Linked DNA regions of Rhinolophus ferrumequinum. The protein of the gene in region 1 purifies or fractionates together with the protein of each later gene. This does not show direct contact. Links are inferred from orthologs where the notes say so. Each region holds a gene or a part of one and is shown in the gene's direction. Other genes may lie near its edges.

What was found.
Region 2: the proteins of CCT2 (region 1) and RPTOR purify together in Homo sapiens (affinity purification with mass spectrometry; 3 studies listed by BioGRID and IntAct, with this or other methods). This does not show direct contact. The link is inferred for Rhinolophus ferrumequinum from reciprocal best matches to the Homo sapiens genes CCT2 and RPTOR.
Region 3: the proteins of CCT2 (region 1) and ACTR1B purify together in Homo sapiens (affinity purification with mass spectrometry; 3 studies listed by BioGRID and IntAct, counting the BioPlex papers as one, with this or other methods). This does not show direct contact. The link is inferred for Rhinolophus ferrumequinum from reciprocal best matches to the Homo sapiens genes CCT2 and ACTR1B.
Region 4: the proteins of CCT2 (region 1) and TLE2 purify together in Homo sapiens (affinity purification with mass spectrometry; 3 studies listed by BioGRID and IntAct, with this or other methods). This does not show direct contact. The link is inferred for Rhinolophus ferrumequinum from reciprocal best matches to the Homo sapiens genes CCT2 and TLE2.

Annotation. Positions count from the first base shown.
Region 1 is NC_046293.1:65,558,375-65,565,718, forward strand, and holds the start of CCT2 (T-complex protein 1 subunit beta), read left to right. Parts: upstream 1-4,343; 5' UTR 4,344-4,489; coding exon 4,490-4,492; intron 4,493-5,214; coding exon 5,215-5,289; intron 5,290-5,388; coding exon 5,389-5,454; intron 5,455-6,183; coding exon 6,184-6,295; intron 6,296-6,616; coding exon 6,617-6,693; intron 6,694-6,829; coding exon 6,830-6,942; intron 6,943-7,344. UniProt on the Homo sapiens protein: Component of the chaperonin-containing T-complex (TRiC), a molecular chaperone complex that assists the folding of actin, tubulin and other proteins upon ATP hydrolysis.
Region 2 is NC_046304.1:53,774,309-53,781,199, forward strand, and holds the start of RPTOR (regulatory-associated protein of mTOR), read left to right. Parts: upstream 1-3,885; 5' UTR 3,886-4,663; coding exon 4,664-4,825; intron 4,826-6,891. UniProt on the Homo sapiens protein: Component of the mechanistic target of rapamycin complex 1 (mTORC1), an evolutionarily conserved central nutrient sensor that stimulates anabolic reactions and macromolecule biosynthesis to promote cellular biomass generation and growth.
Region 3 is NW_022680356.1:2,451,876-2,459,345, reverse strand, and holds the start of ACTR1B (beta-centractin), read left to right. Parts: upstream 1-4,452; 5' UTR 4,453-4,597; coding exon 4,598-4,645; intron 4,646-6,445; coding exon 6,446-6,510; intron 6,511-7,470. Other genes in the region: C13H2orf92 (uncharacterized protein C2orf92 homolog), read right to left, coding at 451-513, 1,559-1,655. UniProt on the Homo sapiens protein: Component of a multi-subunit complex involved in microtubule based vesicle motility. It is associated with the centrosome.
Region 4 is NC_046301.1:60,196,558-60,204,186, forward strand, and holds the start of TLE2 (transducin-like enhancer protein 2), read left to right. Parts: upstream 1-4,613; 5' UTR 4,614-4,917; coding exon 4,918-4,941; intron 4,942-5,014; coding exon 5,015-5,112; intron 5,113-5,506; coding exon 5,507-5,570; intron 5,571-6,019; coding exon 6,020-6,064; intron 6,065-7,629.

The DNA of each region.
Region 1 (7,344 bases):
CTTATTTACATCCCTCTTCCCCATTCCTCCTTCCTCATTTTTGGGGGGTATAACACAATTCTTTGTAGCATCATTACAATTGCAATTCTATGACAATTAGATAATGATAGCATGGAAATGGACTGGTATTAATAGTACAGTAGTCACCGGTGTGCCACATTTGCATTAGTAAATGCAAAGTATACATTTTATAAAGGACAAATTTTATGTTATGTTTTTATTTTCATTACGTTGTATGATATGTAACATTGTATGTCCTAATTTGCATTATAAATGTTTTTTCCTACATAAAGGCATAAATATAGCAACTTTGTATAAAGGTAGCTTATTAGATTTTTAATTTTTTTCTTTTATAGAAAATTGTCTAACAGTGGGACTACCATTGCCAAATTGTATATGAAAATATGAATTTTACCCCCTATGGTTAATTTCTTTTATAAACATTCCATATTTCTCTAATAAAAGACATAAGTGATACTGTACTATGCATAAATTGTATTTTAATGCTGTTTCATATCAGCATTTTAAATTTGGTTTGCATTTTTAATATTGGCAAAATTTACCACTGTTGATTAAAACCTTGATGTATATGTAACAACATCTTTTGCCCTCTGTCCCTCCTCACCGTTTGTTCTCTATTTCTCCCTATCAGTGCCAACTTCATACATTTTGTAGCATGGCAATAAAATATAACTTTTACACTGAGGCCGAGTGTGGCTTTTTGGAGGATGTGGAAATGGGAGGATTGCCCTCTAGTTGTTCTTTCCAGATGATTTTTTGCCATATGAACCATGTCTCCAGGCATGAGAAGTTATCTCATATATGATGTAAACATGCTTTTAAGGACAAGTGTGAATGTGCGTTTAAGCTTAATTTTTGTCATAACAAATAAGAACTAATTTTTTATCTTTGGAAACGTCAGAATTCTTGAAGTACAATCAAACCTTTATTAACTGGAGTACTTAAAGAATAAGCTAATAATTGAATTCAGTTCAACAAGGGCTAAGCAACACATTTTTAAAATCTTTATTTATTATAGAGTATTAGTATATTGTCCTAAAAGTTATATGTAAAATATGGTTTAATCTTAGATGATATAGGATCTTGCGATGCCTTACTGTTGTCATTCTGGCATAAATTTCCGTGATGAGGTACTCAAGCTGATAATGGAAGTTGAGCTGACTATACACTGACCTTAAGCATTCATGAAAAACTGCTTTGTTGAATAAAATCTGATCGGAGTTCTTCTGGTTACTTTCCCCTTATCGCCTAAAGTAGATTGCAATAAAATCCCAATAAAAGTTTGGTTGGATACCTATGTAAAGTTTTACTGTATTTATATTTCACACATTTCTTGAAACTATGATAAAAGGTTTTCTTAGTCTCATATCACTGCCTCCATTTCAAAGTGAACATATAATGGGTTAAAGATTATGTTTCATCAAAGTGAAATGAAATTTGAAGTATTTGACATACTTTCTCAGTTTTATCTGTGTTGTCATTCAAACTGGTAGTTCTCAGCTCTGAGTCCTCAAACCTGTTTTGGGGTCACTGAGTGATACTGTAAAGCCTACTTGGATAAGGTTCAAGATGGAGATCATTTAAACAATGAAGGGGAAAGAGAAGTCCACAAATGATTGGGTGGCAGACCCATGGAACACGTAATTAGTTAAGGTGTGGCAGAGACCAAATCTTGGAAAAACTTATTTGGATTATTTCTATATTTTTCTTTTGAGTCCCTTTGAAGACAGTAGCTATTCACATGTTCTTATTTAATGAATGAGCATGAACTAGGCCCTATGCTAGTAATAACGATAGCAATCCTTGTCCTCAAAAACATTGGTAGTTTAGAAATCCTTTTTTTAATGGGAGCAATCAATGCCCTTTCCCCCCAAGACATAAATTGTATATGATGAATTAACTTCTCTGCTATCGCGAGAATGGTAATAGCTATATGCCTTAGGAGAACTGACAAAATTGTAACTCCAGCTCTTAGTATGAATGGTGTTAAGGTGCACACGAGGGAAAGGCATCTAACAACCTGACAATGGAGGTTTTCAAGAAAAGCTTGGAGGAGGTAATCCCTGAGGTGTTTGACGAGAGCCTTCATAGGTTAGAGAAGGAGGGGACAGGACGTCTTAGGGAGAAGGAATAACATGCAAAGGCACAGAGGTATAGAAAGATGATGTTCATTAGTGGCAAGTGGTTCTGTATGACGAGTGGGGTGCAAAGGCAGGGTGGGAGACAGAGAAGAAAGGAGAAATGAGAGCCATAAGGAGCTGTAGGATGCTAAGGACTGTTTAAATGAGGTGAGTGTCTGAAGGATTTTAAACACTGGACAAATAATTTAGATTGCTCTGAGATGAACATGGAGGGTACCTTAGAGGACATTTTAATAAAGCAGGTAGACTGAAGAGGAGGCTCTCAGAGAAATGGAAGCAAAACTGGATAGATACCTATTCAAAGGCACTATTAAAGGAGTGTTTAGGTTATTTATTGCTGTGCAACAAACCACCCTAAAACTGGCTTCAAGCAACAAATCACTTTGTCACATTGCTACAGATCAGGGTGAGCAGGCCTATGGAACCCACCCCAAATTACAAAACTAGTAAATGGAAAAGTTGAAATTCAAACCTACACAGCCTGGTTCCAGAAGCTGAGTGTTTAAAACCTGTGGTACAAGGGTGACACTAAAGGAGGAAGAGAAAAACATGCAATGAAGAAAGAAATTGCTGAGAGTCCCCTCATAGGGGTCTCCTGGCAGTCTCGAGCCTCAGCTCCACAGGTGGCAGGGCCTGCCTTCCCAGTCTCCATCCAAAGCCTCTGGCTATGTTTCCTCCACGCCAAAGCCCAGTAGGGAGGGGATGTTGGTTTCTCCATCACCCATAGTTTCAGGCTTGCCTGCCAGAGGACATATTTCCAGATATATGATTTTGCCCACAATAAATACAGCAGTTTTCAGTGTCATGCAGTTATCTTAGCTTCTCATTATTGTAACATTCTAGTGTGCGATTTGGGATATGAGTGTTAAAGGGCATTTCCTGAAAGCAAGTTTCCTTACAAAGATTGCAAAAGTCTTGATAGATTTAGAATAGCAATTTGTCCAGTCTGAACAGCCCTTTTCGTGATGGCCCTGGAAATAGTGTGTAAAAGGGTCAGCAAACTTGCCATAAAGGATCAGGCTTTAAATATGTTGGGCTTTATGTGCCATACAGTCTGTCATAAATAACTTCCATTGTTTATTGCACAGTATATAAAAAGTGATGGGTGTGCTTGTATTCCAACCAAGTGTTATGGACACCAAAATATGTTTCACATAATTTTAATGTATTATGAAATAGTCTTAACTTCTTTTAACCATTTAAAAAGGTAAAAACCATTCTTTACTCTCCAGCCATACAGTTTGTCAACTCCTGGTATAAACCAACCTTCTTAGAGAATATTTGAAAGGTAGAAACATTTTAAAAATTGAAAACGTCTACCAGTGTTAACAATTGCCCAAAATCCAAGAACTTGCTAACTGACTCATGAGTCAAACGGAGAAAAGGGTATCAGCAGGTAGAAAACTAACATTTTTTTTGCACAAAACTTTGCTTTAACGGTCCTAAGGGGTCAATTCAGAGAAAGTAGAAAACTGTTTTTGATAAACTGAAATTTTGGGATTGATCTTGATCTCTACCAAAGCATTATGTAAGAGTATATTAGTTATCTCTACTAGTGGGGGAGGGGAGGAACGAGTGAAACGCAAAAACCTCCTGAAAATGAGCAAGCAAAGAGAAAGGAAACGTCTCCATCAGTTCACAACATCTTGTCCTGGACAGTCAACATCCAATTAAAAACAGCGTTTTAAAATTCAATAAAATAAAATGTGTCTTCCTCGTAATACTCAATAAATAGTTAAAATCAAAATAGCGATGAAAATATTATTTAGGAATATGTTGGTAAATAACCACTACAGAACAAAGCTGAAAAGTTGAGAGTGGTTGCCTCTGGGAGAGGACGGGATGAGGTTGGTGAGTTATGTTGTTCATTACTAGTACATAACACTTTAACCTATGTATATGTGGTACTTCAAGGCAAACCTTTAAAGATTAAGAAAAAACGTGCAAGCACAAACTCCGCTACTATGGCAACCCCCGCGGCGCAGCGTCTCTAGTTCTTCCGGGGTTCTGCTCCCAATACTGCCGGCCTCAAGCAAGATGTCAGACCCCCGCTTCCTTGCCCCAAGCAGGTGGCGCCGCAGGGAGAGGAGGAGCACAAGCCTAGGCCGCGCCCCTCCCATGTGACGGGCTGCGTTTAAGACCCGCAGGGCTCCACTCAAAATGGCACTTCCTCCCTCCCTCCGCGAGCCGCGCTAGGCCGGAGCGGCACACCGGCCGAGGCTCCGCCCCTTACGGTAGAGCGTGAGGCGTCACTTCCGGCTTCTTTTCCTTCTGGTCCCGGGCGCGAGCTGTGAAGGAGTAGCGTGTGTGCCGAACTGCTTGGAACCATGGTGAGCTTGGCCCCGCTGGCCCTGCCCATGCCCCGCCATACTCCGCCGTGCCCTGCCGCCCCCTCTTGTCCTCCCAGTGCCTCGGGCTCCCTGTTTCTGTGCTCCGGGACTGCCGCACACGGTGAGGGCCGCGGCGTGTGGCCTGCGCACAGGCCGCTGGCGAAGCTCCCGGTGCAGGCCAGGGGGAGGGTGGGCCTCCAAGCCAGCGTCCTCTGACACCGCTTCTCCAAAGCCCCAGAACCGGGAGACCCGGGGCTCACCCTTAGCGAAGAAATTTCCAGGGCTCCGGGCGGGTCGGCGAGACAGGCCCCGCCCTCCCTCTCGGGGCGGAGCCTGGAGCGGCCTGTTGGAAGCTAGGCCTCTTCCATTCCCTCACCCGCTTGGCGGTTGTCCTGCGAGTGGCCTACAAGCCCTGCCTGCCTATCCTTAGATTAAAAGTCATCTTGAGTCTTGCCATACTTAAGAGTTAGTACATAATTTTTATTCTTGGAGCACTTGTAGATACAGAAAGCAAGGTTGCTTTCCTACACAGCTTTTAGAAGTGTCTCCTCCCCCTTAAATGACTGCCCTGATGATGGAGAGCTTCATTTTTTGGAAAAAGTACACTATTCTGTACATCAATTTCCTCTTAGATATCTTCTTGTAAGTCTACTGGAGGGCATCTAAGTATATGTGTTAAAAGAATATTGGCATTCACACCGGTTTTTGTTTTTCCTTTTTAGGCGTCCCTTTCCCTTGCACCCGTTAACATCTTCAAGGCTGGAGCTGACGAAGAGAGAGCAGAGACAGCTCGTCTGGTGAGCCTTCTTCTCATTCTTTGAAAGATAAAATCGTACTTTTACCATTTTAAGACTCAAGGTGATTTTGACAATCTCTTTCTTTGATTTTCACTCCAGTCTTCTTTTATTGGTGCCATCGCTATTGGAGACTTGGTAAAGAGCACCTTGGGACCCAAGGGCATGGTAAGAAAAAGAGGGAATTTTTGTTTTGATATTGTTTTAGAGCCCTTAGTGAAAATGTACATAGTAAATAATACTTTTCTTGATGCATTTTAATCGTTGAAACTTAACTCTAATTATATAGGTAAGACGTGGATATATTCTCTTTCCTGAAAATCAAAACAGTACCTATATGGCTGAAGTCCCATTCAGTGCCCATCCCCAGTCCCACTCTCCTCCCCACTGACAACCACTGTTATCATTTGGATGTAGATCTTCCCAATATTTTTGTTCATTAATGTAAATATATGTGTATCTTATGTGTTATGTATTTTCTTATATACTGGTAACATTTTGTTTTATCATAGGTATTTATGTGTAGTTTTTCTGTAGCTTGCTTTGTTAAAATTCTTTTCAGTGTAAATGATTAACTGCCTCTTAAGTGTCAAATGGTATTCAGCATCCTGATTATTTTATAGTTTATATTTATGACTGTATTGAGGGACACTTTGTTCCATTGTTTTGGCTATTATAGTGCTGAGACAAACTGTTCATGTCGCCCAGTTCTAGTGTTTTTAGGGTTAGATACCAGGGTTTGCTTGTGGGGTGTATGTATTGCAAAAATTTGAATGGATACTGTCAAATAGCCATCCAGGGTATTGACACATTAACAATATACGAGAGTAGTGATTGACCCATGCGTTCTTCAAGCTGTATCTATATCTTAACTTGAACCAAATATGTTCCTTTTAGGACAAAATTCTATTAAGCAGTGGACGAGATGCCTCTCTTATGGTAACCAATGATGGTGCAACTATTCTGAAGAACATTGGTGTTGACAATCCAGCGGCTAAAGTTTTAGTTGGTGAGTCTGGAGATACTCTTTTGTTAACATTTTGAAACATATTTTAAATAGGCTGTGTTGGCTGTACTTCCTTTAACTATTGTCCATTTTTTAATTGATTATTGTCATTAAAATACAAGCTTCTGGAGTGCCATGTAATTATTAATAGTAAAATTGTTGCATTTCAGACTGAAAAGTTCCAAAGAATTTGTCAGGTGAGAAAACCTAGATAAGTGAGATTTACATTGGTAGTGGGTATGTTTGGAGAATTAGTTTAGCTACAGAGAAGTAATTTAAAAGGCAGAATCAGATATAAATGAGTTAACTAACTTTTTTTTCTAGATATGTCAAGGGTTCAGGATGATGAAGTTGGTGATGGCACTACCTCTGTTACTGTTTTAGCAGCAGAATTGCTAAGGGTAAGACTATCTGAGCAATTCTAACCTCATTTTATGAATTAGTTTTTGCTACTGTAGTTTTGAATGTCAGAAGTAATGAAGTCCTTACTTCCTACATCTTCACTATTGACAAGTGTTTTCCACTGTTTATTAATAGGAAGCAGAATCTTTAATTGCCAGAAAGATTCATCCACAGACCATCATAGCTGGTTGGAGAGAAGCCACAAAGGCAGCAAGAGAGGCTCTCTTGAATTCTGCAGTCGATCATGGGTCGGTATACCAAAATACTACTGTTTTAAACATTTAACATTCTTTCCAAAATGTACTCAATGCACGAAATCTAGAAAACAAGAAAAACATACACAAACACGACCCTGCTATCTCATCCTGCCCCAACAGAGAAAACCCGCATTACCCTCCAGAGATAGCCACTAAAGTTCAAGTTTGGGTTTCCAGTTTTTGCTTATATAATCACAGTAAACAGAACGAATAGTATCATTGTGTAGAGGGTTTTTAGTCTCTTGAATGTAGTTGAATGACAAGCACATTTCTGGGTGTCAGTATTCTAATTGAGGTATTCATTTGATTATATTACTGCAGTACAATTTGCCTATCTATAGTTGGAGATTAGTGTTTTGACAGTTTTTAGCTTTATAAGGTACAAACTTGTTA
Region 2 (6,891 bases), on another chromosome or scaffold:
TTCCTGGTTTTCTCGAGCTGCTTGACCTCCCGTCTCGCTACTGATTCTTGATGACAGGACATTCAATGCCCTTGATTGATTTAGTGGAGAAGCTGCAGCGTTGGAGGGCAGAGCGCAGCTGGTTCTGCCTCGCCTGGGCTGCCATGGTCTTGTGCCTGGAGGAAAGATTAGGTCCCTTGCATGGGCCAGCAGCTGAGGTTGGAAGCTCTGAAACTCCAGGCGCTTTCGTTCTTCCTGTGCTGTGTACAGTGCCTGAGGCGTTTATTCAGGCCCCCGCCCTGCCCATCTTCCCTCCCCCCACCCATATTTCCCGTGACTTCTGTTGTATTTGACCGACACACTCAGGTTTGTAAATGTGTTCTCTGCTCACTTTGCTGTATCTTTGGCTTCTGGTTGCCAAGTAGCCCGAGTGAGGCTGGAAGGGGTCATCTGATCACCTTCACGTTCTAGGGCGAGGTCCCCCTCTCTATACAGGCAGGTTTAGGGTTATTCTGCTGTTTCAGATCAGAGCCTCCCCCGCTTCCACACCTGCAGCCTGATGGCAGCCATCAGCAGGAGGTCATCAACACCCTCCCCTGCTTTCATAGCTTGTGTTAGACCAGGTTCCGTGCATTTTTTGAGATTCACTTGTTTTCAAGATTAAACTGTCTTGTTTAGAGGCTTTGTGGAAAGCAGGCAATGTCCTTGCCTGTGAAGAATTGGAGACACCGGAAATTGGAACTGCAGGCCCAAGTCGCCAGCCCATCGCACGCCGGGTAATAAGATCACCGAGGTGAGAAAGATTAGCCTGTGAATTTCCAGCCTGCCATTACTCAGAGCCTCTCACTGCCATCCGGAAACCTGGAGCCACCCTTCCAAATGCTTATCTGGGACTTGAACAGTCACCCATGACACATCAGAACGAGTTTGCTTTTAAATGTCATGATGCTTTGAAATGACTCAAGCCCATTCTTAAACCTTCAGACTGGGAGCTGGGCTGTCACCAGCCCCTTCCTGATTTACACATGGTCACAGAATTTTGACCCCGAAGTGCCCTTAGAGATTTACCTTCTTCACGTCACCCATGTCACCCCGATGTGGAGCCTGAGGATGGGAATGGCAGCATCTTGGCCATGGCTACAGGAATGGGTGGTGAACCAGGGACCGGAGTGTGTATCCTGACCTTCAGTTCGGGACGTGGACCCCAGATGGCCTCTTGGTTCTGGGGTCACACTTGTCGTCCAGTAGGGGGTGACTCCTGCTGTGACTTGTTGGATGGAAGATTGGATAAGTGCTTCGGAGCATTCACTTACTCGGTACACATACAGAGGGTGCCAAAAAAATGTATACACATTTTAAGAAAGGAAAAAACTGTATTAAAATTGTAATGCTCCATATACACAATAACAACAGATAAATACAAGTCATGTGTATATATTTTTTGGCGCCCGCAGTATTTACTGAGGGCCCGTCACGTGGCTGGAACGGACTCATTAGAGGAGAATGCTGCCTAATGTCCTTAGAATATTGTCCGATCCCCCACATCTGGCTCATGTGAAGCTATCACCAGGGTTACCTGATTAAAAAACCCAGAGGCTGAATCCTTTCTTCCCTCTCCTTGTGGCTCAGTACATCTAGGATGGGACCCTGGCATCTTCATTTTAAAACAGTTTCCCCGGCGATTCTGACAAGCTGCCAGGTGTGCGTGCCGTGGCCTCCTTTACTGACTTTGTGGACACTCAGACAAGGCGAGTGGCTTTCCCAAGGTGACACATACTGAACAGATGAGGAAACTGGGTCTCACACAGATTAAGTGGGTTTCCCCAGGTCACAGAACTAACTATGCAGCTGCTTTTCTGCTGCCGTGGCTTCCTCCCAGCACTAGTGCCTGGAGTGGTTATCTGTGGCCCCTCACTGTCGTGTGCTGCAGGGTGGCAAGGCAGCAGCTGGAGTCGTGGTGTTGCGTTCAGGTGAGAATGAAACAGGGCCCGGCTGGGACCCCCCTCCCCCGCAGTGGAGGCCTTGCGCGTCCCGGCCTCGCCTTTCCTTCATATAGCTTAGTAATAGATTGTCCCCCTGTGGCTTGAGCTCGGAATGTCCCCTGTCCCGGTTCCCAGCTTTAGAAAGTCACCCTGAAACTTATGGTTAATACCCTTAGGCTTACTGATCACAATCTCTGTGGTCTAGCATTCTTTCCAGGATACTCCCATCACTGTTCCTGGGCTGCTGACACCACGGGGAGAACCACGTGGCCACAGGGAAGGCTCCGTGCAGACCCCTGGAACCATCATGTAGCCTCTGGAGGAACTCCCATGTTTTCCCTTAAATATCCTAAGCCGGTCTGAGAGAATGAAGGCAGTTTTTGGAGGTCTTGACCTGCTGCCTTATCAGATCACGTGTGTGTTCCGATAATAAATGCTTGTTCTACAGCCCAGACACAGCCCCTGTGTCTGTGTATCGGCTGGCCGGCACAGGCGGCATGAGCCCCGGACTCGGTTGCCCTCCAGTTTCAAGAACAGGGCCTTCTCAGGACCTCGCAGTCCTGAAGCCTCTGCTGGTGACGGTGGCATGTTTTGCCAACACAGAGCACAGGGAAAAGGAAGATTTTAGCCTCCATCTGTGTTTTGGTGATTTTGCCCTGAGTTGTAATGGAAGGATTGGGCTCATAGAGATGTAAGAACTGAATGAATGTGTGGAATGACTTCATGTTTGGACTGATTTAATCCAAGAACTTTTAGTAAACGCTTGCTATGTGCCAAATGAGAAAGATCTGGGATTGCACTGTTCACTCGGATGTGGAAAGGAACACAAGCGTCCTCAGGATTTCGACGTGGACCACCACGTGGTGTCACAGCCCTGAGAAGCCACACTGAGAAAAGGTATCTTCTAGAGCCCAGCCTGAGGTTTTTGGATGAATAAGGTACCCAGGGCGCCTACATTTCATTTTGGCTATACAGTGGTCGTTGCTAGTGTACTGGGCACTCACGATATACTAGTCACCTTCACAGGTTAATTTTATCCTTCCAGGTGGGTGTTATTATCCCCGTGTTATAGCTGGGAAACTAAGATTGAGCTCTTTAAGGGATTGACTAAGGCCACAGAGATGGAAAGTGATACAGGTGCGCCTGACACCAAAGCCCAGTGGAAGGGAGGAAGACCAACCCCTGGCCCCCTGCTGGGCTTTGCCTAAAGGTTACTGTGTGTCTCACTAGACAGGACATTGATTGAAGGCAGGCTCTGCACGCTGGTTGGGTTTTGTGTTCCCTCCTGCACCGGACAAGGTCTGCACACATTATAAATAAGCAAAGTCTGCTGAACTGAAGCAGAGAAAGAAAGTTACGCAGGAGGCGTACATCCACGCCTAGAAATCTGTAGGTTTTAGTTGTTTGCACATGAAGCTATCTCAAAACAGGAATAAACTGCTCAGAAAGTAAGATGGATTAAACAAAAAATTGCAATCATTGAAATTATTCTTTTCTCTTGGTGTTCCCTGAAAATCTGATTGGTACTGTGAAGGATACTACACGCACACAAACCCTCCCCCCACCCCAAATCCCATCTTCTTTTGTAATATTATCAATGGTTCTTTCTGAAGCTTTTCCTGCCTTTTCAAAATCTGAAAGAAAACAACAAAGGGGTCGAGATTCCTTTAATTTCAGAAGCACGTGGGTCCATTTGTAATTATAAAAAGATTTTTTTCAAAGTTAATTAATTTAACATAGTTTTATTTGTAGGATTGACTTTGCCACCACGCAGCGAAAGAATCGCAATAAACTCTGGAAAGCTGCACCGTGGTGACCACGGTAACGAAGTTGGAGCAAAAACTGCTCCCATCGCATCTTGGGAAGCGCGGCCGGAACGCTCTGAGGTAGTTTGGTCTGTTAGCCACGCCGTAGATCGCGATGCATGCTGGGTCTTAGCAATATGGCGTCCTCCTTGATGTGCTGATGAGAGGAGTTTCACTGTAGCTTCAAACCAGAGGGCAAAACTCCCCAAACCCAATAATCCCACATTACCTGTTTTCTCCGCGGCGCCGTGTCGCCCGTTTCTCAGGACTCGTTCTCAGGCAGGAGAGAGCCACGGGGCCGAAGGTCAGGACCGGCCAGGCCGCGCGGACCCGGGGCTGAGGAACCGGCTGCGGACGAGCACGATGGGCCGGTCCCGGCTCTGGTTGCAGCAGCTGCGGCGAGTGCGGGACCCGCAGGGCTGAAAGTGGCAGGAGGAGACCCGGGGCGCTCCGAACCCCTTCCCTTCGGCCGGAGACGTCAGCCCAGTCGGCGAACCGGCGTCAGGAGCGGGCGGCCTGCCTGTCCTCGGGTCGGCCGAGGCGTTGGAGGCCGAGCGCAGGGTCATCGTGCGGCCTGAAGCCCCGCACGCCTCTGACAGCTCCGCTCGCAGCCCCCCGGGAGCAGACAGCCTCAGAAGCAGCCGTGTGCGTCTGTGCAGAGCCCCCTGCGCTGCCCCATCTCCCCGGCCCTTCCTCCCCCTCCGGCTTCCCTCGGAGAGAAAGGATTTCAGCAGACTTTTTGCCAGAGCGAGGGTCTCCGCACGCTCTCCATTTGTTTCGTTTCTGACTCCCCCCGTATCTGTTTTGTAGTTGACCAGTTCTGGTGCCCACTAGCTTTTAAGGCTGGAGGTTCTCGAGCGCTTGCTGCCAAGGACCCCCCCACCCCCACCCCCCCTGATGGAGTCCGAAATGCTGCAGTCGCCCCTTCTGGGGCTTGGGGAGGAAGATGAGGCCGACCTGACAGACTGGAACCTGCCTTTGGCTTTTATGAAAAAGAGGCACTGCGAGAAAATCGAAGGCTCCAAGTCCTTAGCGCAGAGCTGGAGGATGAAGGATCGGGTAAGTGGATTCCGGCTGCGCCCCGAGGCCTTGGGAGTTTTTTCAACAAAGGAAAGTTCAGAGCCAAAAGCACGTCCTTGGGAAAGCGGGAGACGTATTTTCCTAGCCACATGTCGCAAGGCAACTAAAAACCACACACCATGTCAGACGCCAGTGTTTGGCTGAAAATGCAAAGGCTGTTTTGCTTAGTAATTCACAGGATAGTGTGAAGTCAAACCAAGTTCTGCATCAAACAAGAAAAGTTAAGCAAGTTTGCAAATAGAGCACTGCAAATATTTAGGCGCTGTTTGATATACTCAGTGCTGTTCTTAGAGGAAAAACATCGTCAGATATACTGCTTGTCCCCACGTGGAGAGTCTGTTGTGGTGAGTTGACGCTTTTTGTCCAAGCAGGTGAAATCCAGAAGTCTAACATAGCTACTAGGAAACATGATTACTGGCAAACGTTCATCTAGTAACAAATTAATGCAGAGTTGTTTTAAAGTTACAATGGACTTCATAGCCTTCTAAACCATTTGTCTTGAATACAGACTTGCCTCCTTTTACGTGCTATCATGTTGCTGTGACTTGGAGACAGAATTTCTCCAGGGGAGGAGTTAGAGTAGATGGAATGGAACTTGGGGCCAGGATTTCGGCGGCTCCCCATGGTGTTGGGAGTGCGCACAGTGATTCAGAAGCAACTGGTAGGAAAGAAAACAGCCCATTTTGTTGACTCTGTCCTTAATCAACGACCGTCTGTTTTCCTGGTCTCCAAAGCAAGTGTGTGGGACTGGCTCAGCTATGCACACTTATCATTTGTCTTTCTGTGGTTTATTTTCTCCTTCAAGACTGTATTTATTTAAACATTTTGGTGGTATAAGAGGGGTAGTTGGTGTTACCATGGGATTGCTTTGAGCTCATGAACGTGTTTCTATAAGATGATTTATTGTTTTTAGTATATGATGCTGAACATGTGAGCTCAGCCTTATGGCAGTCCTAGTCAATCACTGGTGACCAGCTACTGATTGAGCTTCTCTTTAAAAGGTTAGGAAAATTTGTTTCAGCCAAAAGCAGTGTAAGGAGTGCAAGAGACAGTCATCAGAAGAGATTGTATAAAGCCTGTCTTACGACCTCTTTAGTACTAATTATATAGTTCAAAGCTTTTGTGGTCTCTGCATGTATAAAAAGTTTATTTTAAAGTTACTGTCTAATCATTTTTTTTTTTCATTCTATTTGGAGGGCATTTTTTTTTTCCTTTTGAAATGTAGTTTCCTCTGCTATCCTAAACCTGTGCTCAAACAGTTCAAAACTGATAAGTGGATATATTTTTGACCTTTTAATTAAAACATTAAGTTTATGAGTGATCAACATCCCGTGATAAGCTCTTCATAGGTTATTAGGAGAAAGACAAGTTCTGTGAATCTGAGTAATTACTGAGATTACTACTTAGAAAAGAGCCAGGTGAGAAAGTTTGCCGTATCTGACGTTTGCAAATTGTTCAGTGAAGAAGAAAATCAGCAGCTGACAGTTTTAGTAAGTTTGTGAGAGCTTGGCATCTTAACAGTCCTGTCGTCTCTTTCCACTGGTTGGACCCTGACGGGACCTTTCAGTACACCATAGTAGGACAAAGGCTGCGAATTCAAAGACGGTAAGATTTGGAAGGCAGCATAAGTGAGTGAAACAGGCCAGCTCTAAGAAGAATAATGGCACAGGTTCAAAGAGAAATGGCAGCTGACATTGGACTTGTGTCTGATTTTTCTGGAGGGTGGAAGAGTGGGGCTTAGAAGAGTACGCCACATCCCTCCCTTTCTTTCTTTCTGTGGGGACAGAGCCCCAGAGAGCAGTTTCCAGGCTCTCAGCCTCACGTGGAAAGGTGCTGGCTCAGGTAGTAGGTGGCCGTCAGCTGTGACTAGTTGGCCGTCAGCTGTAACTAGTGAGCCATTGGCCACTGATATAACTGCCGCGGCTGAGCTAGCAAGCGCGGATTGCAGCCAGCACAGTGGGGTTGGTTGGTTGGCAGAGAAGCGTGGATGGCGGATTGCGTGGCTCCTACTTCCTGTGTCTCCAACCCAGCCGCCAGCAAGAAAT
Region 3 (7,470 bases), on another chromosome or scaffold:
ACCTCGTGGCTGGGGTGGGTCTGGAAGTCTCTATGTGACAATCTCCCAGGGGACTGTCGTGCTCAGTTAGGCTGAGGACCTGGGCAGAAGGCCGAAATCAGCCTCAGGGCCTCACCGCCTCCACTACGTGCAGCATCTCCTGGGCACCTTCCAGGCAGCTGTGATGCACCTGGTCCCCGCTGGCACTGAGGCTGCACTTCCAACACCTGCCAGAGGGTGGACCCCCCGCTCTGTGAGGAGCAGAATCCTTTCTGCATGTTGCTCTTCTATGCTTTTGATGATTTCTAGGGAATCTGCCTGCCTGCCTGCCACTTAGAGAACTGGTTCCAGCCTCCGTGCAAAGCACCTCCCTTCCCATCAGGGCAGCCGATAGGTCATCTGGGGGCCGGCCAGGGATGCGCAGGAGACGCTCAAACACAGCCCGACTGGTTCACGGGGGAAGGTACTTACCAAATATTTTAGCCATACCTTCCTCCAGATTTTTTGAACTTGGTGAACGGTCAGCATTTGACCCTGTGGGGGAAAGTAAACCGTAGCTGTGAGTAAATCTTTCTTTCACTGGCTCCGCGTGTAATCGCAAGTCGATCGTCTCCCGGTGCTGTTCCGAGAACAGCACCGTGCAAGGGGCCTGCTCTAGGGGACACACGGGTTCTAGGCCCCCTCTGAGTGCCTGTGGGCTTGGGCAGTAAAGTGCTGTGGGTTTGGTTTTCTCCTCTGCGACTGGTGGGCAACGCGCCAACCTCAGGAGGCCTGCGAGGAGAGGAGATAAAAGGTGCTGATGTGACTGTGGAAGGAGAAATGCCCTCGCGTCTCCCATCTCAGGTCATCATCTGTTGTGACCTGACCGCTGTGCTCAGTGCTCAGTGTGGGGACAACAGAGGGAGACAGACACACATCGCAGGTTTTGAAGAGAAACTTCCCTTGAAAGTATGTTAAATAAAAGAAACCAGTCACAAAAGACCACATGACTCCATGTATGAACTATTCAGAACAGACGAATCCATAGAGCAGACAGATTAGTGGTTGTCAAGGGCTGTGGGAAATGGTAAATGGCGAGTGGAAGGCAGTGAGTGTGACTGACTTTTTGAGGTGATGAAAATGCTCTAAAATTAGATACCGGTAGTTCACAACCCTTTGAATATACTAAGCACACTGAATTACACACTTTAAGAGAGTGAATTTTATGCTACGTAAAAATGTCTCAAGCTGTTATTGAAAACAATGTGTGTGAGGGAGCAGGTGACACCAGCTCAGCCTGATTAGCACGTGGAGGTGCATTCTACTAATCATTCTACTTTTGTGTGTGTTTGAAAACGTTTATAATGAAAAGTTAAAATGTATGTTTATATATGCTACCCTCCTGTGGGGCTCTGGATTCTGAGAAAGCTGCAAAATTAGGAAAAATGTTAAAGCTACTCCCTTCTCCTGAGCAGAAATTCCTATGGCAGATTTGGGGTGATGAGAGGCTCCAGGTTCACCACACCAGGGCTCACAGAAGGAGACTCACAGTGAGTCTCCCACTTCTCCATATGCCCCTGCAATCTACCTGTGACCGTACCTTCGACCGGTGGGAAAGGCTGATGCATGTCTGCACACTGCCAACAGTCCAGGAAGAGGACAAATAAGAGGGCCCCTGCTCCTCTCAGCTTTACCATGGTCTGGACACCACTAGAGAGAAGGAAACCTCCTGAAATCCTCAGCCAGGATACTGTGGAACTCGCCGATCTGTGAAGTCACAACCGGAATGGGTGGAGGTAGTTCTACAGCTGGTAGAGGGAGGGCCCAGGCTCTGTGCACAGGGACCAGAGGGGACTCTGGTGCCCCGCAGGGCCTTCCTCCATCCTGCGAGTGCTGTGACCTGAAGGCGGTAGGACATTAACCAGAACTCTTAAGTCGCGAGTAACAAAAACTCTATTAAATCAGCTTAAGTTAATTGGAAGCGGCTAGAGTAGCCAGAAAAATCTTAGGATAAATCAGGATATCAAATTATTATTTATTGTGTTACATAAAATTATAACACCAAAAATATTATAAACAAAAGTATAAGTTGATGTTATCATTCACGTATCACTATTTCCCTTGTTATGTTTTATAAGTATCACACTACTTTCAAAGGAAAAATCTTTATATTTTAGCACCTTTAACTGCACTTTTTTCCCTGCATTTTCATTTTGCATTGGCTTGTGTGTGGCCATCTCCTCCCTATGTCTTCACATCTTCTTCCCTCCATATATATTTGTGTCCAAAGTTCCTCTTCTTATAAGGACACCAGTCATATTGGATTAGGACCCACTCTAGTGACCTCATTTAACCTCAGTAACCTCTGTAGACACACCAAATAAAGCCACATTCTGAGGTACTGGGTGTTAGGACTTCAACATATAAATTTAGGGGTGGGAGGTGGGGGACAAAATTCAACCCATAACATTAGGTAATAGCAGCAGCATAAATATTATTTCTCTAAAATATCTTCAAAAAAACAAAAACAGAACAACAACAAAAAAAGAACATAAAACAACACAAAACTCACACTCTCAGCATAACCAGGAGGAGGTGGCATCAAGCCTAGGATTCCATCATCTTTCTTTTGGGGTCTGATTCTAGGGAAATTCTTCAAGGACCCCACCCTATGGGTTCCTCCATATGTGCTAAGAACTTACCTGCATTGGTGCATTTTGTCTTGTCAACAAAATGTTACTGCCACTAATCCAAGGACAACAGGAATCCTCAATCCAGGGTGCAGTAAAAGTCAAGATTTTATTCAGGGAAACTGAGGAAACTCAGAGGAAACCGAAAGTGTGCTTCTCCAAGACAAAGCGGAGGCCCACTTACATAGAGAAAGTGCCTGCCCTGGTCCCCATCTGTCTATTTTTATGCAAAGAAAGATCCAAATTTTAAGTTTGATTGGTCCAAACGGCAATGTCCTGATTGGTTGGAATCACATGTCCTGATTGGTCGTTATGGAGCCACTCTGATTGGTCAGTAAAGATGCAAATGAGTATAAAACTGTGCAGCTCTGATTGGATGGGGCTGGTCTCAGCCCATTGGTCAAAATACATTCCAAGAAGTCCTTTATACAGGCGAGCTTTAGTAGGCAGGAACACTGTGTAGAAGTCTTGGCATCCCAGTCTGTGGCTTTTCCCTGAACTGCAGCAATACAGCAATGTAGCAGTGCAGCAATGCAGCAATGCAGCTCTGTGTGGGGGTGGGGGTGGGGGCTCTGTAAACAATGGCTACTAGACTGGGAATATGAATTTGGGCCCAGTTAACCATGAGGAGTCCTTTTGACAAGTATAACCCTTCTCCCGACCAACAGTCCTTATTTTGTAAAGTGGGTGTAAGTAACAGATTGAGAAGAAATCTAAGTGCTAGGGTGACATTCCAGAGAGAAAAGGAGGTGCTGTCTGGGAGGTGCTGAGAGGATGGCTCCAAAGAGCAGGAGGGAGTGGCTGGCCCTACAGGGTTTGGAGGATTCTCTCCTGCACTGTCATTCTCTTACCCACCTCTCTCTCTTTTCCTCTCTCTTTCTCTGTTTCTCCCTCGAAAGTAAGGTTTCTGAGCTCTTCCTCTTCCTAGTTATCTCAGTTGATAATTGAGGAGCCTGCCCTCCTGCCTCCGTAGCTGAGTTTTCTCTATAGTTTTCAACAACATGTACGAATTATAATAAACCATTGAATGTATACTTAATGATATCTGCACTTTATGATGTTTTTCAATTTTACCAAATTTAATCTCACAATCCAATGGGAAAGGCATATATAGAGGCCATCACTACGGCTCAGTTTAATAAGTGAATTCAGGATTGTTGCACGTTGACTCCTGCGCGGATGGAGGCTGCCTGCAGGTTAGGCCCCAGCTGTTGCTAGTTACATAACCTAGGGCAAGTTACATAAATGTGAGGCTCCTCAGTGCCCACATCTGTAAAATGGGAATAATAATACAACTACCTGGTAGACTTATTGCCTGGATTGAATAATGCAATCCACGTAAAGTGTGTCGAAATGCTCCGCAAGCACCATAGCAGGCGCTGGCTAAACGCCAGATACCAAGTTACCACGAAATTGTAATTGTTACAAGGGAGAGGGTCCTCGTCGGTGCTCAGTAAAGAAATGGTTTGAGTGATAATATCCAGCGCCGGCCTCCTTGGGGACTGCGTGCCCATGAAGGTGTAGTCGGAGGCGCTGGGAATCCGGAAGACGTCTTCCTGGACAGGGGACCTCCCGCCCGCGAGCCTGCCGTCTCCCGCGTCCCCTTTAAGAGCGGGGCCATGACGTCATCCCCACACGGTGCAGCCTACCTTGGAAGCGCCTGGGCGGTTCTTCCCCGCGGCCGCAATTGGCTGGCGGGCTCCCTCTGCCCCGCCCCTTTGCCGGCAGCGGGCCCGGGGCGCGCGCCGTCATCCGCCCGGATGGGAACGGTGATTGGCCGCGGGGCGCGCCCTCGAGGGAGCCCCGGGCTCGCGTAGGCTGTGCGCTCCGCACGGGAGGGGCGCGGCCCCGCGTCTGGAGCCGCTGCGGTCCGGTCCACCCGCCTGCGCGTCCGCCAGTTTCTCCTGCCGCCCGCCTGCTGGGCAGGGCCGGCCCGGCCCGGCCCGGCCATGGAGTCCTACGACATCATCGCCAACCAGCCCGTGGTCATCGACAACGTGAGGCCCGGCAGCTGGGGGAGGGCGGGCGCCCCGCCCGCGGGTCGCATGCGGCGGCACCGGGAGGAACCCGCCTGCCTGAGCTGGTCCTCCGCACGCTGCCCCCGCCCGAGGCCCGCGCGCCCGCCTGGCCCTGTAGCCCGGGCCGTGGGGCCCCTGCCCGAGCCCTGCCCCAGCCGGCCCCATGGTGATCGTCTCGACCGCGGGCGGCCCGGCCCCGGCACGCACCCGGGACCCGCTCGGTTCAGAATGGGGTCGCTGGGCTGGTGCCGAGTATAGCCCTTTTCTCCCTTTTTCGGGCTGTGCCTCTGGCTGCCTCTCTTGGTAGAGGAGGGTTGGCATTTGCCCTTTTGCACACTGCTGGCCCGCCTTTTGGAGATGGTTGGCCTGGTGACCTCTAACAGCACTTCCCAAGGGGCTGCACCCCCCAGGCAGGACCTCCGGAGAGGACAGCCCTACCTGGGCTCTTTTCCTACGACTTGGGGAAAAATGCAAGTTCAGCTCTCCCAGCCACAAATCCACCACCACCACCAGGATGGCCAGTGCCTACTTTGATCCTCTGCCGAAGTGCTCCCTGTGTGGAGCAGGAACGCCACAGCCGGCAGGGCCCATGAGCAGTTGGGGATAATTGTTTGGAAGCCGCAGAGAAAGATGCCTGGCTTCCGGTGTCTATGTCCTTCAGCCCTGGGACTCAGCATGCTGTCAGCTGCCCTCAGAGGATTTCTGGCCTCAGAAATTTCTGGTCCTTGGGAAGTAAATGAAGGGCAGGCGTCTATGGCATTGCCCCTAGCTGGCTGTCTGCCTCTGGTGTGCCAGCCTTGCAGTTTTTGATAACGACTCCCTGCTCTTTTGGGGAGCTGTCTCCCTCCCACATGATCCCCCTGTCATCCCTGAACAGCTGTCTTTTTTGAAGTACCCCTGTGGGCTCCTTGAGTCACATCAGGCGATGTTTACTAAGAATGCTAAAACCGAGCTTAGGGGGTGCTCTCCAGCAGGCGACAGGAGAGACCAGGCCCCTCCCTTCTTGTTGGGCAAATCATTACGTAGGCTAATCAACAAGCTTATGCGTTCAGAGAGCTACCTGCTTGTCTCCCTGGCCTGCAGCCGCTCTGTAATTTGGGGATGTTTGTTCGTGCACTGCAGAAAGGAAGTGTTATGATGTAAATCTGGGAAGGGGGGTGAGATGCTGATTCCTTCATTGGATGGAAGGGTGCAAGGTCTCTGAGACCCAAAGTCCAGCTTCCAGGCTAGGGCAGTGGCAGGACAAGTTGTCCTTGGCTTGCAGTTTTTGGGAAAGCCATGGAAGAAGTGCCAGTGTCCCCAGGCACCCAGTGGTCTTCCCGTGGGCCCTGTATGTGGTCCCGTCGGCTGGGGACCAGGGGACAGGAGCTGCTGAAAGAAACTACGCTTAGGGACTGCTTCTGGCTGGCTTTTGGGAGTAGCTTTCCCATGGATCTCTCCTGCCTGGAAGTGCCCTGGAGTGTGCAGGGGGTGCTCCGTGGTCCTTGCTGCTGGCATTCTGGGCTCGATCATTCTCGCTTGTGAGGGGCTGGCTTGTACATTGTAGGGTGCTTAGTGTCCAGTGTCCCTGGCCTCTACCACTGGATGCCAGTAGCAACAAGACACTGTTGAATTTGGGGGAAGGGATGCAAAATCGCCCCCCCACACACAGTTTTGAACCACTGGTGTACTAGTGAATGAACATGCCCTCTTGGCAGGATCTCAGCTTCCTCCCCAGCCGCCTTGGTCTGGCAGCCCACAACCTCCATGCCCGCAGCTAAACATTGTTTTTTCTTGCAGGGTTCGGGGGTGATCAAAGCTGGCTTTGCAGGAGACCAGATTCCCAAATACTGTTTCCCAAACTAGTAAGTGTCACCCAGGTAGCAGCCCTCACCCTTTTGTTTGCTTCCCGGGAGAGCAGTGGTTCAGGGTCACAGCTCTCTTTGAGGCCAGCCTTGCCCCCACCTGTAGGGAAGGAAGGCACCAGATGTATGAAGCTCATGCTGCTGAGGGCTCTGGAAGGAGCAGACAGGTGCTCTGGGCTTCCCCCTCTTTGGCGTCTGACTTTGGTCTCTCCCTGAGCAGCGGAGGAGAAGCCTCCAGCTTCAGCCTGGGGACAGGGTGTGGTAGCAGCAGTAAGAATAAAAGGCAATTTCCATGAGAAAGACCTGATCTCAGGAGGAAGAGTGGGGAGTTAGTGCACAGCCACCCCTTCCTCCTAGGAGAGTTTTCTTTGGAACTTACTTATTTTCAGACTCTAGAAAAGATTTTGTTTCAGTCACGCGGGTCTTTCCCTGCCTGACGCTGGTGGTGGCTGGGGTCAGAGGAGGAAAAACCCCGAGAAAGCCTAGGTGCGCCTTTGGCTACTCCAGCCCATCAGAAAATTCCCCCACGGCAGCGTCACCTCGCAAATCCGAGAGGCTTTAGAGTGATTGGCCTAATCCGGGCGGGGGTCCTGAGGCCCCCAAAGTGGCTGGCTATGGTCTGGGGACAAGCCAACATGAAGCACGCAGTCAGGCTCCAGCTTTCCTTTTCTGAACCCCACTGGGTGTAATTAAGGTTCCAGTTGATGTGCAGGGAACTTGGGTCAAATTGTGGAATCTCTTATTCTGGAAGCCCTGGCAGTGGGAAGGGACCAGATCTACTGAGTGAGAGAGGGGTGCAAACAGGGGCTGCCACCAGCTTCCTGGGGCCATCCTCCCTCAGTCTGCAGATAGTGGTGGCAGCCTGGCCCTCCTGAAGTCAAGAGCATGGGCTGAGTCAACTGTGGCTGCAGCTGACCCTCTGCCAGAGCTCTCAGCCCTCTCTGGGAGGGAGGGTGGAAG
Region 4 (7,629 bases), on another chromosome or scaffold:
GGAAGCCAAAGGCTTGGCCTCCCCGAGGGAGCCGCTTTCCCGGCCCGGGTCGGATCAATGGGCTGTAATTATACCGCACCGGGCCCGAAGCCGGCGGGGAGGGAGCGGGAGCTGGCAGAAGCTAGGCGGAGGGCGGGGGAGCGCGGGTCGGAGAGGAACCCACGTTACTTTGATTGACAGTTTGGGCGGGCGCCGCGCAGGAGCTTCTGGGGATCGTAGTCTTTCCGAGAAGCCCTGCTCTCATCTCCTCTTCCGTTCGCGCTCGAGGAAACTGAGGCACGGGCCCAGCACAACCCCCCCGCTTCCCGCCCACACATTGGCCTATTCTTTCCTCACCTGACTTGGGGACAAAAACATCTGTGTTAGGAGCCTTCAGGCTCCGGTGAGAGTCTCAGCTTTTCCCAGAGGGGGTCTAGCGTGACTTCACATCTCTTTACCTCAGTTTAGCTACCGGTGAAATAGGGCGAAAGGCGCCCAGTCGACCCCGCTCCCTGAGAGGGGTTTTGCAAGGTAATTTGTTGGGCGAGGGGCTCTTGATTTTAAGGGGAGACCTACCAGGCTCCCGGGGTGGCTCGCTGCTATGTTTTTGGATAGTAATCGAACTGGATCCCTCACTCTAACCTAGCCAGGCTGGGGCGTACACGAGGGTCTCAGCCTCTCTTAGGGAGGAAGAAGCTACACTCTGCATATCCCGCTGGGAGCGCCTCGCCGCCTTCCGATTGGCCTAGACGATCTTAGTGCCGCCCGTTATTGGTTGCCAGTTCCATGATTCCCATTGGCCAGCGCCCATTGTGACGTCACGGACCCATGTGGGAGCACCGTGGGCGGATTGGCTGGCGCGTTCAGCCAACCACCACAGAGAAAGGAATTTCCACAGTAGCTGGGACTGCGGGGCTGATTTAAGGTGGTCTGAGCAATCCCGGGTCCCAGCGCTGCTTCTCAGCTTTTTCCTTTAAAATAAATAAATAAATAAATAAACCACATCCACAGCATAAAAACCCAGCCAAGAACCGGGGCTGAGCCTTTCTGTATAGTGGGAGGGGAGAAATCGGAAACTAAGCCCCTTCCTCCATTTTGCAGTTTCCTGGATTTTGCAGATGGGGAAACTGAGGCCCAGAGAGATGGAGCTTGAAGCGAGCCTCCCACCACCAGCACCATGGCAAACGAGTTAGCTGGGGAATTGAGAAGGTTGTGCTAGACTGCCCAGGCTGTAACTCAGGCCTTGCCAGGCCTTTCCCTGCCTCCTGCTCTGGGTGAATGTGGGACTTCAGCGAGTTATGGAGTAACAGGCTTCCTAAGGGTCCTCCTAACTCACAGACTACTCTTAGCTGAGCCTTCCCAAATTCTCAGAGCTGCTCCCAAGCTGAGGTTGCTACTGCTTAGAGCAAACCATCTCTTCCTTTTTGGCAGATCTCACACACAAGAGATGGTGTGTGTGTGTATGTGTGTGTGTGGTCTTGTGGCTTCTCAGGCAATCCACAAATCTGTATTTACTCTCCTCAGTGGAGTGTGCCTGGCTGAGAAATCTAAAGACTGGTAGGTAAAGGTTCCCTCCTCCAGGAAGCCTCCTGTTGACTCCATAGGCAGAGACCCTGTTCCATCTCCCTCGGGGTGCTTCCGCCCTGGATCTGTCCCCCTGTTCTGGCATTGACTACGTGTGCCCTGGAGTGTGTCCTCAGTTCTGTCTCTCCCCATCCAGCTACCCTGGGAACCCTCCCAGCAAAGCCTGAGGCCGGGTCCTTCCTAAGGCCCCAGCATCTTCCAGCATGAGAAGGTGGTTATTGAATAAATATCAACTTTAGACAGTCTGTATTCAATGTGTGTGCGGAGGGGAAGATGCCTGGAGGAGGTGCCATTTGGGCTGGGCCCTGAAGGAAGGGATTTCGAGCAGGCAGAAAAAGAGCTGAGGGAATTCCAGGAAGAGATAAGCAAAGGCCCAGAGGTGAGAAAGAACACAGATTAAGTAATCCAGCTGGCGTGGCTGGAGCAGAGGGAGTGTTTGAACTGGTAGAGGGAGGTGAAGCTGGGTCAGGCCAGGAGGTGAAGGGTATCCATGCTAACCTGAAGATCTGGGAATTTGTCCCAAGGGCAATAGGGAGCCATGGGAGGGCTTTGAGTGAGGGAGGGCCAGACTCAAAGGAAGGTGATGAGAGTGAAGGCTGTTCAGAGCAGTGAGTTGGCTTGAGATCCAGATGGCGGAGGATGAAGGGTTGGTACAGGCAGGGGTTGTTGGGAAGGGGAGCAGAGTTGCATGGCAGGTGAGGGGGAAAGAAGAGGCTAGGCTGATGCTCTATCTTGGGGGGGTCAGGGTGGGCTGTGGGGTGTAACAGGTTTGGGGAAGATGCTTTGTCTAATGACCTGGGGGTGTCCAGGGGGGACATCCATTTGGTGGCTGCACCCACAGGGCTGGGTCTCAGGGTAGGGGCCAGGGGTGGACCCAGAGCGTGCAGCCATTCTCATGAGTGTTCAGGAGGGCATGGGGACAGGGGGAAGAAAGGCTGCCTGGAAAAAGTTTTTGAGGACTTCACAGACCCTCTCCCCCCAGAACCAGAATCACAATCTCCTAGCATTGTGGAATCCTGGAACTCCCTGCTTCTGAAAATTTCCCAGCAGGAGTGGGGCCAGTGATTACCACCTTTAGCTGCATCAGCTCTTTCTTCTCATCCCAAGGCCCGTTTTTTTATTGAGCACTTACTGTGGGCCAGCTCTGCAGGGACCAAGACAGGCTCTGTCCCTACACAGCCTAGTACTAGGGGAAAACAAATAATGACTAGAACAACCCACGAAGAAACATAATCATGTCAAAAATAAAAACTCTGTTAGGACCTAGAAAGAGAGAATAGGATGCGGTGTTTAAAAACAACAAGGTAGAGTGGGTGAATGCTGCTTCAATGGGTGGCCAGGAGGGGACTTTATGAGGAGGTGACATTTGAGCTGAGACCTGAATGATGAGAAGCAAGGGGACCAGTGTTCCAGGTAGAGGGAACAGTCAGTGCAAAGGCTTTGAGGCAGGACTGTGCCTGGAGAGTTGGAGAAACAGAGAATGGCTGGAGCAGAATGAATGAGGGTGAAAGTGAAGGGAGTTAGGATCAAGATGGGGACCGTGGGGAGGGGGTTTGTGCAGGGCTTTGTGGGAAGAGGGAAGAGTCTGGATTTTATTTTGAAGGCAATAGGAAATCATTGAATTCTCCCTTCATCACACACACAGATAACACTCCCTGGATCTCTCTTTACCTCCCCTCCCATGGTTTCCTCTCTTTATCTTTCAAGTCTCATGTCCAACATTAACCTCCTCAAAGAGGCCTTTCCCAGACACCCCAGATAAGTAGGTTCCCTCTTGTCAACCTTTTCCACTGCTCCCTAAACTCTTCTCTTGTGCACACAAATAATTCCATCATTACCAAGCTGTGATCTTGTCTCGCAAACTGAGAGAAGGCAGGAATCCATTCTCCTTCATCCACTCTTGTATGCCTGGGAGGATGTGTGGCATATAGTAGATGCTCAATAAATTTGTTGACTGGAAAGTGATGCTTTTAAGTTTAAGGACTTTTGTACATTGTCACTCACACAATTACTGACATGGGTGTGGACATTAACACCTGGCAAGAGGTTTTCTCTGTTTTGTTCCCTGTTGAGAGCCCCAGTGCCGAGAGCAGGGTCTGGTCCAGAGTAGGCACCCAGTACGTGTTTGTTGATTGCCTTAATGAATGACTCTGAGGTTTCTCACACGCAGGATGGGAATAAGAACATCCCATCTCCCAGGTGAATGTGAGGGACAGTAGCTGGATGTCTGAGGTCCATGGTGGGGGTTGGAGCCCCTGCCCTCAGAGAGACTTCAGTCTGAAGGCAGAGATTCCGTTCCCATTCTCACTGGGACTTCTGCCTTCTACCGCGTTTCCCCGAAAATAAGACCTAGCCATGAGACCGGGTCTTATATTAATTTTTGCTCCGAAAGACACATTAGAGCTGATTGTCCAGGTAGGTCTTATTTTCGGAGAAACACAGAGCCTACAGTCTGCTGGTTGTGGCAGTTGGAACACCAACTCCCATACTGTGAGCCAAGCCCGGCTGAGGGCTGTGCATGTACCATCTCGTAAAAAACAGCCCCTGCCTCTGCCCTTTTCAGAGAATCCTGAGGCCCAGTGTGGGGGAGAGCCTGCCTGGGCCCCCCACCTCTTGCCCTCCTCTGGGCCTCTGCCCCTTGCTATTTCATTTCTCCTGGGGGAAGGCTTCCCTGCCAGCACTTGATAAGGCTGCTTCCTCCTTATCCTTAAGTCTTAGCCCACATCCTCAGAAAGGCCATTTCTGACCACAAACTGCTCTCCCCACCGTGGGCCGCCAGGTATTTGTTTCCTTGCTTTTTTTTTCTCTGGGGCCCCCTGGGGAGGGAGGGAGTGAGCGGGGACGATGTTTGTGGGGCTGGACTCGAGCCTCAGTTTCTCCACTGGGCACTGGTCGAAGGGACGGGTGGGCTTCCGGAGCTACGGCTCCAGGTTGGGGGGGGAGCAGGGTGGGTGGCGGGCGGGCCGGGTGGGCGGGCCTGGGGGGCGGCGGCGCCACCTTAAGGCAGCTCAGCCCGCGGCTCCCGGCCGAGCCCCGCCGGAGGGAGGCGGCTCCGCGCGGGGCCCGCCGCCCGCGCCTCCGACACCCGGCCGCGGCTCGCCGACCTTCTGCGCCCACCGCCCAGCGCCCCTGCCCAGGGGAGGGGTCCTCGTTGTCCCTCTCCGTCCTCGTGACCCTGCGCGCACGATTGGGGGACGCGGGGACTCCAGGGTCTTCTGCCCCACGCCGCCCGCCCCCCGTCTTCTTTCTCCGGGCAGACCCCCGCCCCCAGCCTCTTTCTCTCTCCCACCCCCTCGCCTCGACCCCCCCACATTGTCACACTCCGGCGCGAGGGGGGCTTCCCAGATCGACAGGATGTACCCTCAGGGAAGGCACCCGGTGAGTGGGGGCCTGGGCTGCGGGGGTGGGGGACCCAGCGCCCGGGAACTCAGACCTCAGACGTCCCCCCCAGACCCCGCTTCAGTCCGGTCAGCCCTTCAAGTTCTCGATCTTGGAGATCTGCGACCGCATCAAAGAGGAATTCCAGTTCCTTCAGGCTCAGTATCATAGGTGAGGGGGGGCGGGGCGCCCCTCCTGGGGCACCGGGAAGCTCACCTGCGAGCTCACCTGGGAGCTCAGGGAGAGGGGCGGGGCGCGTGGGACCGGGCCAGGCGGGGGCGGGGCCTCCAGGGTGCTGGGAGTAGGGCTGGCCCCCAGAGGTGAGGGGAGAGCTTCCAGGTGGAAGCGCAGGGTGAGGGAAATGGGGACAGTGGGTGCTTGGACATTTTGAGTCTGGGAAGGCGGGGGTGGAGGGTGGGGGTGTAAAGAAGTGGGGAGGAGGAGTGTCAAACCCATCATTTTGGAAACTGGCCCAAAGCGGGTATCCGTGGGGTGTCCCGGTTTCCCTGAGTCTCCCTCTGGGGGTCATGGAGAGTGGGGTACCCATGCCCTTTCTCCTTCCCAGCCTCAAGCTGGAATGTGAGAAGTTGGCCAGTGAGAAGACCGAAATGCAGCGACATTATGTCATGGTGAGGAGGGTAGCATGTCAGGGTGGGGGGAGTGGGGCACAGGGCTTGGCCAGGAGTGAAAACACTTGGGTTGTGAATCCCAACTCACTGGGCCACTCTGGGTAAGTCCCTGCCCCTCTTGGGGCTTCATTTTCCGTATCTGTAAAGTTGGCTGGTTGGGATTCCAGGCTGTTTCTCCCAGGACCCTCCCAGCTCTTAAGAACAATGAGACAAGAATGTCTCTTCTCCTCATCTCTGGGCCAGGGTCTCAGCACCACCACCTGCCCCACCTCCTGGAGAGAGTGGAAGGGTGACCTGCTTCTCCCTAGGGGGTCCCCATGGGGTTGGGATGATCTGTGCCCTGAGGTGACCACCCCAGCCTGAGGGCTCCTGAAGACCCAGAGTCACCCAGCACAGGGCTGGACATCCGTCGGCACCGTGGACATTGCCAACTGGCTTTTCCTTTGCAGTACTATGAGATGTCCTATGGGCTCAACGTTGAAATGCATAAGCAGGTAACTGTTGGGGGTGAAGGTGTTCAGTAGGTAGGGTGGGGGTCTGGAAGCTGTCAGAGGGACTCAACACTAGGGCAGTCTGGGGCAAGGCAGATCCAGGCAACAGGGGTCTAAACCTGAAATCTTTGGGACCAGCGGGGGCAGATTTCAGCCTCTGGATAGGAAAATGATTCTGAATTTCTAGAGCCTTTATCCAGCAGAGGGGAGTGGTGGGCAGGGCCAAGCATCCCTGTCAAGGGCGCTCATAGCAGAGGCTGGCAGCCAAGTCAGGGAGGCTGTGGAGGTGACTTCTGTCCTGGAAAGGGGCCAGATGAACAGTCTTGGAGGTCCCTTTGAGCCTGAGGCTCTGAGATGGCCCCAAGCTTCTGTCAACTGTTTTGAAAGGTCTGAGATTGACTCTAGTGCTTTGCGGTTCTGAGACTCTCCTATGCTTCTGAGTGTGATCTCGAGGTACTGAGTTAGATTGGAAGGTTCTGAAATTGACTCCAATTGTCCAAGATTGATCCTGAGATCCTGAGACTGACTTCCAGGTTCTCTGATGGCTTGTAATAGGATGGAGATTCTGAGGTTAAGAGAATCTTAGGTTCTGTCCATCCGAATATTAGTCAATGCATGGAGCCTAGTGTTGGGTCTTCCGGTGGGTGGGCTGGAATGTAGTGTGCACGGGGCTCCCTGGCGTGCTTTTCCATGTATGTGTGGGCTCTGCTGGCTCTGGGGGTGCTGGGAGGGCTGTGCCTTTCTGGAGCATGACATGGACTCATGGATATATGAAATAGAACCCCTCATGGGGTGGCAGGCATAGGGTACAGCCTGGTCTTTGGGAGCCTGGTTCTGCCCTCCTGGTGGGAACTGCCCCCCGACACACTGCACACAGCATGCCTGTAACCCAGGCAGACACAAAAGCATAGGCTTCACTGCACACACACCCTTTTCCCACCCACAAGGCTTCTCCTATGTTCCGCCTCCATGGGGTACCCCTGGTCCAGACCCTATCCGGGATGAAACCTACAAGTAAGCCACTCTGTTTCCATTGCTATATACTTCCAACACTAAGTGTGGGTTTTCCCCACACCAACCAATTCTCCAACTCTTAACACCCGCCAGATGTCCTGCAGATCAGCTCCATTCTGACACTTTCTGCTCCAAGTTAGTCCAGACCCCACAGGTTCAGGGCTCAGCCCCACAGGACTGTCCCCACTTCAGATAGGGACTTTGCAAGTCTGTGCTTCCTACAGTTCTGAGCAACTGGCTATAAAATCAGGGGTTCTCATCACCCCTTCTTGGGCTCAATAATTTGCTAGAATGGCTCACAGAACTCAGGAAAGCTCTTACTTATTATTATCTGTTCATTATAAAAGTTATAACTCAGAAACAGCTAGATGGAACAGAGGGCAAGGTATGGGGAAGGGGTGCAGAGCTTCCATGCCCTCTCCAAGCGCCGCTCTCCCAGCACCTTTGTGTGTTCACCTACCCAGAGGGTCTCCAGACCCTGTATTTCAGAGAATGTTTTTTAAACGTCACAGTTATTTAATCCGCACGTGTTCCAGAGATCCCCCTCCCTCCCT